Linked DNA regions of Canis lupus familiaris. The protein of the gene in region 1 interacts with the protein of each later gene in a pairwise test. Links are inferred from orthologs where the notes say so. Each region holds a gene or a part of one and is shown on either strand. Other genes may lie near its edges. The genes, in order: GSK3B and BCL2L12.

Region 1 (3,811 bases):
TCTCATTAGGAAACCTTATTCCCAGTTCCTCCATCCTCATCACAATCTACATGTCCTTCCTTCACAATTTCCCTCCCTTTATACATATCTGCCTCTCTTTTTACATACATCTGTCCACTGCCACTACCACACCTTCTATTTGGTCTGTGTTCCACCTATCAAGGAATATGTTTCATTTTTCTTTAGTTTCAAAGGCTTTCTGTCCATCTGTTTATGTTTATTTGTTTTTCCCCTTTCTGATTCTATTCTTCAACTGTCTATAATTTAGAGCAAAGCTATTTTCATAGTTCTGTGTATTGATTTGGAGTTTTAAGGTAAAGATGTGTAGAAAGCTTTCTATTCTTTTAAGCAAACTAATTTATTTGAATTTTGCTTCAGCACAGCCTTCAGTTGACTTTTTCTAGAGTTAATGGCTCTTAATGAAAAGTACATTTCTCTCTCCCTAATTAAAACCCTAGAATATTCATCCAAATGAGGGTAATCTGACCATATTTGTAATAACAGCTACTCTTTGAGAAAACAGTTTTGGACATTTTGTCAAATTCTGGGTATTCAAGAATTTCTTCAAATAAGACTGTTTATTGAAGAGATAATAGCAGATCATTAGCATTGCTAAAGCTAAAGTAAATAGCTTTTTTCCCCAAAAAAATATTGATTGCCAAATTTGAGTAGTGCTGTCCATTACTGACAGTTGTTCTGCTAAAAATCACACACAAGAGGCAATCTTTTATTCTACTGCCACAGTAGTCAAAACTTTTAGAAAATTTTAATATTCTTCTAGTTGGTGCTTGCCTCCAGAACCCAGCCTTTCTTTGTGCCTATGATATCCTATTTTGTGTACATATTTCATTGTACTGCTTTATGATTAGCAAGTGTAGATTTTTTTTAATTTCCCCTAGTTTTTTCTCTGAGTTTTCCTCATATAGTTTGTAATTAGCTGTTCACCTCAATGTAGTGAATCATATGCAGTTAACTCTTTTCATTCTAGAAGGTTCCTCTCACAAATGCAACCATGTTGTTGTACGTGGTGGGAATTAACTCAGTACTCAAAGGATAATTTGCTAAGATTCTTACAATAAAGCATTAATTGTTCTTTACCTTTTTTTGTACTGCAGGTCTTCCGACCCCGGACTCCACCGGAGGCAATTGCACTGTGTAGCCGTCTGCTGGAGTATACACCAACTGCCCGATTGACACCACTGGAAGCTTGTGCACATTCATTTTTTGATGAATTAAGGGACCCAAATGTCAAACTACCAAATGGGCGAGACACACCTGCACTCTTCAACTTCACCACTCAAGGTAATTCCAGATACTTAGTTCTGTTTTTTACCATTTCTGAGAAAGCTACCTATCTGTGTGAGGTTATATTCTTTTAATTAAAATCTGTAGGACGAAAGTGGGCATATTAAGTACTTATACAGGTAGCAAACATCCCTTCCAACAACTGATTAGGCTACTACTTGTATGGTTTTAAACAAAATAGTGGCAGATAAAATTTTTTCCAGTAGACATAGCTTCTCTCATTTTTGGCAGATTATAATAAATCTTGGCACATGAGAAGTTATAGAGATTTCACTATTAAGTTAACCCTCAAGTTTGTATTTGAGACTAGAATTTTAGCATTTCTTACTTCCCAAGTGTTTATTTTTTTCCAAGTGTTTATATTAAGTTTTTTAAACCTGGAAATCAATTGGTGAAATTGGTGGTGACTGTATTTGTATAAAGTCAGATATCTTACTTATAAACAGAAGGAAACAATGGAATTCTATATAACTGTCTTTCTTAGAACTTGTATAAGAGATGTAGATAGAGAAATTCTCTTCCCTTGTGGAGCTTGGCACCATGGCTGCTTCTGAGAAAATACTGAGAGGAAAAAACAGAGTTTGTGTACTGGTGCTTTCTAAAAGACCCAGGAAGAATCATTGTTTCTTAATTACTTCTGTGTTCACTTTTCTTTCCTTTCAGATTAAGACCCTAAGTAATTCATTTAATCAACTACACTGCCTTCGATGCTGTGATTTTCTTCATAAACTGCACATTAAAAGTGTACAATTTCCTATAGATAAAACAAGCAAGAAGTGGTCAATTGATTGATTGGTCAGCTTAGTCAAGCTTAAAATATAGAAGGGAGATGGAAAGCTCTCTGTGACCAGGAAATAATTATATTTCCTTTATTCTAAGATGAATTCCCCCCCCCCCCCATATTTAAACTTTTCTAAATTTGAAAGTGGGAAAATGTATTGCTTAAGCAGTAGATGTGGAAGACCTCAGTTACTGGCAAAATAGACTTGGATGATTCCATTGACTATAATCTTAAGCAGTCAATAATGTGTAACTACTAGTAGTGCTGATACAGTCTGAAACTACATTCATAAAGGAAAAAATGTTCAGATATCCTGGGATTAATTCTGACTGTTTAGGGCTGATCAGAAATCACTGGAGTGTTGTTTTAGGTCCCAGCTATACCATTTTAAGATGTTATCAAATAGCAGGTGGGGTATGTAAAGGAACAGAATTCCACTTCCTGGAAAAGTGAAGACTTAAGGAACTTTTGAGAATGATGTAAAAATACCTCATAGATTATCTTCTGAAGAAAGATGTAGACCTGTATTCTTTCTCCTGATTATAAAATTGAAAATAGTAGTAGCAAAAAAATTAGAGAATAGTACATATTTGAGTTTATGATATCAGCCCCTGGCATAGATAGAGACTAAATAAAATTATTGATGAATCAGTAAAGTTTTCACTTATTTAACAGTGGAACAGGTTTCTTTGTTGTGCTTTTTATTTGTTGTTTTTTGTGTGTGTGGTTTTGTTTTTGTTGTTTGTTGTTCCCCACTCCATCCTACCACCATCCCCAAATACCAGTCTCTGTATTAGGAAAAAGCTGGATGATGTCAAATGTTATAGATAAGATTACTCCAATTTGGTAATACGTTAGACTCTTCTAGAGCAGATTCTGTGACTCTGTCATTAAAAAATTTTTTTTATTTTCAGTTTTTACTGTTTTGTCTTAAGAGTAGCACTATATATATTAAAGAAAATGTTGAAGATGCAAAAGAAGTATAGAGAACATTAAAATCACAATCCCCAAATGATCACTTTTAGCTTTTGAATTAATCACTGTAATATTTTATAGTCTAGCTCTTTTCAGTCTTTAATATATACTATGATAATCCATGAATATAAAGTGATACTCTACTCTCCCATTAAGAAGATACCAAAAGAAAAAGAAAAAAAAAAAAAAAGATCCCAAAAGGGTTTCTTGGGTTAACTCAAATGTATTTAAAATAATGAAAAAATAAATAAAATTATGCATTATATAAAATTAATATTCAGGAACTTTTTAACCTCAAATTTCATAAAACAATTTTATTAATACTTTTTATATGCATCTTTTACACCTGTTTCTTTCTCATCAGTAGAGCTATTTTTAAATTTTTTGATATGAAGCACCTTTTGAATCTATATGAAGCCACTACTGGAAATTCTACAAGTATCCATTTTCATAAATGTTTGGTTTGGGGTCTTTCTTTGTACTATAAGTATCTTTATTATCTGCACATAGAACTATCTGCTAGGTTGCTTTTTAAAGTGGCCTCTAAAAGGCTATGTATACAGTGACATGCAACACTTGTAACTGTGGAATCTTGGCATCAGAAACTACTAAGTTAATGTTAAATTATTTATCTCCTTTTTCTTTTTCTTTTTCCTTTTCCTTTTTCTTTTTTTCTTTTTCTTTTTCTATTCACCACTTTGATCAGGTGAACCTGAGTTTCCTGAACTAGCATTGATTGTGGTTTTATTT
Region 2 (4,492 bases), on another chromosome or scaffold:
GGTTCTTTTTCCGGAACCTGGCCGTTCCAGCCGTGCCCGCCTTGCGACATCCGTCCGCTGATCCTCCTAACCCTGCCCAGTCCTGTCCTAACTCCACTCACCTCCACCTGCCACCGTCAGCGCCGGCCGACCCTACGCAGGCTAACCCCTCCCTCTCGGCTCCGCCCCCTGGGAGTCCACCCCTCGGGTAGGTTAGCTCAGGGCTCCCCGGCGGCACGAAGCTCTCGCACCTGGAAGATGCCGAAGTCCTCCTGCTGGGCATCCTGCCGCAAGCCATGCTTCCAAGGGATGCGAAAGCGCGTGCGGCGCTCGTCCAGCCAGGCCACCCCCTCCAGCTGCCCTAGGTCCAGCTGTGACACCAGCCAGGGCAGGATCCGCGGTTTTGGGGTTCCCATGGTCCGGCCTGCGCTTAGAGGGCAGTTCGTGGGCGCGGATGGCCTCTTAGCTACCCGCCCCCACCCCCGAGGGTTCCGCTCCCAGACCTTCCTCTCATGGGGCGGCGGTGCAGCGTCCCTCACTTATATTTTCCTGGGGTATAAAACAAGACAACTCCTCTTTTCACCTCCAGACAGTCCCCCAAGTCAACGAGGACTTCCCGCCCAATCCATTTGAGACGGCCCGTCTTTCCCCACCTCCTCCTGAGCAGATCCTCTACCTCCCCAACTCAGCCAGGGTAGATTCTTCCCTCTTCCGTTGTAAACCCTCTCCTCCCCTCCCCTCCCCCACATCACCTAAGGCAGTCACCTCCGCGTCCAAGGTAGAGACTCCCCTGGTTATTTCAGGGCAGACGTTATTACCTTGTAGATCTCTACCTCCCGCACTTATCTGTGTTGCGGACTCCTACAGAAGAGCCCCTCACCCATTTCCACGGTGGACCCTCCATCCACCATCCTTCCCCCCAAACAGCTTCCTTCCTCTAGGGCACCCCCCCCCCACACATACTCTATAGAGTGGACTGCCTCCCATTTTCAGAGTCTGCTCTTCTCTGCCTTAGATCCCCCCATGCAGACGCCTCCCCCCCGCCCCCGCTACTACTTTTTATTTCACAGCCGACCTCCGGCAGCGGCCATAGCTTCACTTTTACTCGAACTCTGCTTCACCTTCCCTAGAGTACACCTTGCTCCTCTAGACTCAGGGCAGACCCAGCACGTCTCGCGTTTCTCGCCCCGGGCGCCACCAATTCCCCAGATCTTCCCAGTTACCTACGTAGAGGGTCGGGGCGCTCAGGGTGCTAGAACCCGCCCCTGCCTTTGGGGTCCGATAACTCTCGAACTTGCAGCTGCACACCCTACTTCCCGTCAGCTGAGCTTCAGAGAAAGAGGGTTTTCTTTTCTATCGATTTCATAAAACAAAAACAACTTTATCTGCGATTGGTTGACAAGACTCCAGAGCCAAAGAGGCGGCACCAAGAACCCGGACGCCCCCGGTTCTCCCCTCCCCCCCCGCTATGCCCTTTATAGGTCTTCCGGCCAAAGGCATGCTGGGAACGCCACATGCAAATCAGATGGGTATCCAGCGCTCCGCCCCTCCCACTACGGGGCTGACACCAACCCGGCCCAGTGCGCAGGCGCGGGAAAGTTGCACTAATAAAAGTTTGCTCAAGTTCGGTGAAGGAGAGGGGGTCGGCGGCTTCCCGGCCCCAGGTAAGCTGGGCTTTTGTGCAGGCTGGGGCGAGAAGGGAAAAGGACGGGTCTAGGAGCGGGCACCTCAGTCCCGCTTCCTGGACATCTATGCACCCCGGGTCCCCAAGATTCCAGCGTGGGTCAGATAATGGAACTACACTTCCCAAGGAGGCTGCGCGGCGCACAAGTGCGGACCGAGGGGAAGGTTTGCCATGAAGCCTGCTGGGATTCGTAGTTCCTGATTCTCTAAGAGCATGAGCGGCTTGGCGTTATGCCTCCAGAAACCAGAAGTCGTTGCCCCAAGTTCCGTTCTTTCTCAGACTCAACAATTCAGATCCTCCAGCCCCCTTCTCCAAAAAATCTTCAGAGTCCAGCCCCCAGTCTTTTGACCCCAGGAACCCGGGTCCCTAAGCCTCTTCCTCTCCAAGGATCAAGGAGTCTTCGGCCTCATCGCTCTTCTCCCTCTGAGAACTCAAGAGTCTGGGTCCCCAGACCCTAACTCCCCTAAAGGATTTAGGAGTTGAGACTCTCACCCCCTTCTTCCTTCGGGAATTCGTGGGTCCTGGCGCCCTCCTTATTCAGGGACTAGGCATTTGGGCACCAATCCTCCACTTCAGTTCAACCCTGGAGCCCATCCCCCAGCTCCCTTTTTCACAGGTGCCCCCATGGCAGGCTCAGAAGAGCTGGGGCTCCGGGAGGACACGCTGAGAGTCCTAGCTGCCTTCTTTAGGCGAGGTGAGGCTGCTGGGTTCCCCAGCCCTACCCCACCCAGGTAAGAGGAGCTGCCTTCTTTCCGCTGGGGCCTGCATTTGGGGTGGGGCCCTCTCTAACTTTTGTACCTGGTCTCTGTCTGCGTTCCCCTCTTTTATATCTGGCCCTTTATCCTTGTCCCTGGGGTTGCAGTGACAGGCCCTCAGTGGGAGGAAGAAGGGACTGCTTGCAAGGGGCCTCTGCAGTCATTCTCTGAGGTCCCCTTCCCCAGGAGTCCTGCCCAGGAGGAGCCAACAGATTTCCTGAGCCGTCTTCGAAGATGTCTTCCCTGTCCCCTGGGGCGAGGAGCAGACCCCCCTGTGTCCCCTCGGCCTTGCTCCTTGCCCCTCCGCCCATGCTATGTTTCAGAGCCTGGTAAGAGATTTTCCTAGATCACCTGGACACCGGCAGGGCCAAAACTTTGAACCTTTTTTTTTTTTTTTTTTTTTTTTTAAGATTTTATTTATTTATTCATGAGAGGCACACAGAGAGAGGCAGAGATACAGGCAGAGGGAGAAGCAGGCTCCCTGCAGGGAGCCCAATGCAGGACTCGATCCTGGAACTCCAGGATCAAGGCCTGAGCCAAAGGCGGATGCTCAACCACTGAGCCACCCAGACGTCCCCAGGAGCTTTGATTCTCAAAGCATAGAAAGGAGAAGGAGCTAGTCCAAGATCACTCAGCTAAGACAGGAGCTAGGGTGAGGACTCCCCTCACCACTCTCTGATCCCCCACCTCCACCCCCAGTTATTGCTGTCTCTCAATTCTGTGAGCTGGCTTCAGGGGGCTTTGTCCTTTTCTGCTTATCTCTCCTCCTGTGCATGCTTCCCTACTTCTAGGACTTTATTGCCACTAGTATCCCCCCATCATCCTAGGGAGGCAGGAGACCTGGTTTTCGGTCACGGATCCCTGGCTGTTCGGTTACACAACTCAGGGAAATTCAATTTCTTTTTTGCTCCTATGCTTCCTCAGAAGTAAAGTAGCAATGTGTGCCTATGTGTGCATGTGAGAGTGGGAGGGGGTGTTGTTGGATTCCATTAAGAGTAACCAAAAGGAACTGAGAGTAACCAAAAACTCCTATGTAAGCCTCCATAGACTAGGAAATGGCTACTGGGAGTGCTAGCTTGAAAAGAAAAGGATTTCACAGCAGGGAGGAAAGATCTGTGATCAATTGATGAGGCCTGAGAACGGCAAGGGATACCGTGGTAATAGCTGGGGTGCCCTGTGTTTGCCTTTCTTGGATAGGATATTCTTTTTTTTTTTTTTTAAGATTTTATTTATTTATTCATGAGAGTCATACACACAGAGAGAGGGAGAGACACAGGCAGACGGAGAAGCAGGCTCCATGCAGGGAGCCTGACGTGGGACTTGATCCTGGGTCTCCAGGATCACACCCTGGGCTGAAGGCAGCACTAAACTGCTGAGCCACCGGGGCTGCCCTAGAATATTCTTTCAAGGTCTAGTTCACCTCTAACATTCTAAGTCTAGTTTGGGCAACACAATAAAATGGGAAGTACAAAGCCCTTTGGCAAGTGCACTCACTGCCTCAGTTTACCCCATTAGGAAATGGAAATCAGTGCTCCCTGGCAAGATGGTTGGGACAAGAAGAGAATCCATGGGTTCCTGATGTCCCAGAGACCCATCACTGGCTCTTTTCACTCCAGGCCCAGCCACTTCCGATTTCTATGCTCTGGTGGCCCAGCGGCTGGAACAACTGGTCCAAGAGCAGCTGAGATCCCCACCTAGCCCAGGTGAGATACAGAGGGGCCCCGGAGAAGGGTGAGGGTGGAAGGGTTGGCAGGGTTCTGCCTCCAGCTGAATTCTCTCCTGCATCCCTAACCCCCAGAGTTACAGGGTCCCCCCCTCACAGAGAAGGAAGCCCTACTGCGGAAGCTGGTTGCCTTGCTGGAGGAAGAGGCTGAAGTCATCAACCAGAAGGTACCAGGCAGTCTGTTCCATCCCTTAGCTGGGATAGGGATTGCGGGATGGTTGAGCTCTGGGATCAGAACCTAGGTCTGCATTCTCATTAGATGGTCAGGTGAGGAGACGGTGGGACTCGGCTTCTATGAAGGGTCTGTAAGGGGCTCCAAGCTCATTCTGCTTGCAGCACCGTGGGTCAGGA

What was found.
Region 2: the proteins of GSK3B (region 1) and BCL2L12 interact in a two-hybrid assay, tested with the Homo sapiens proteins (2 studies listed by BioGRID and IntAct). The link is inferred for Canis lupus familiaris from reciprocal best matches to the Homo sapiens genes GSK3B and BCL2L12.

What each region holds. Positions count from the first base shown.
Region 1 is NC_049254.1:24,131,137-24,134,947, reverse strand, and holds part of GSK3B (glycogen synthase kinase-3 beta), read left to right. Parts: intron 1-1,115; coding exon 1,116-1,302; intron 1,303-3,811. UniProt on the Homo sapiens protein: Constitutively active protein kinase that acts as a negative regulator in the hormonal control of glucose homeostasis, Wnt signaling and regulation of transcription factors and microtubules, by phosphorylating and inactivating glycogen synthase (GYS1 or GYS2), EIF2B, CTNNB1/beta-catenin, APC, AXIN1, DPYSL2/CRMP2, JUN, NFATC1/NFATC, MAPT/TAU and MACF1.
Region 2 is NC_049222.1:107,547,070-107,551,561, reverse strand, and holds the start of BCL2L12 (bcl-2-like protein 12), read left to right. Parts: upstream 1-1,490; 5' UTR 1,491-1,504; coding exon 1,505-1,643; intron 1,644-2,279; coding exon 2,280-2,394; intron 2,395-2,604; coding exon 2,605-2,747; intron 2,748-4,034; coding exon 4,035-4,121; intron 4,122-4,216; coding exon 4,217-4,308; intron 4,309-4,492. Other genes in the region: IRF3 (interferon regulatory factor 3), read right to left, coding at 231-395.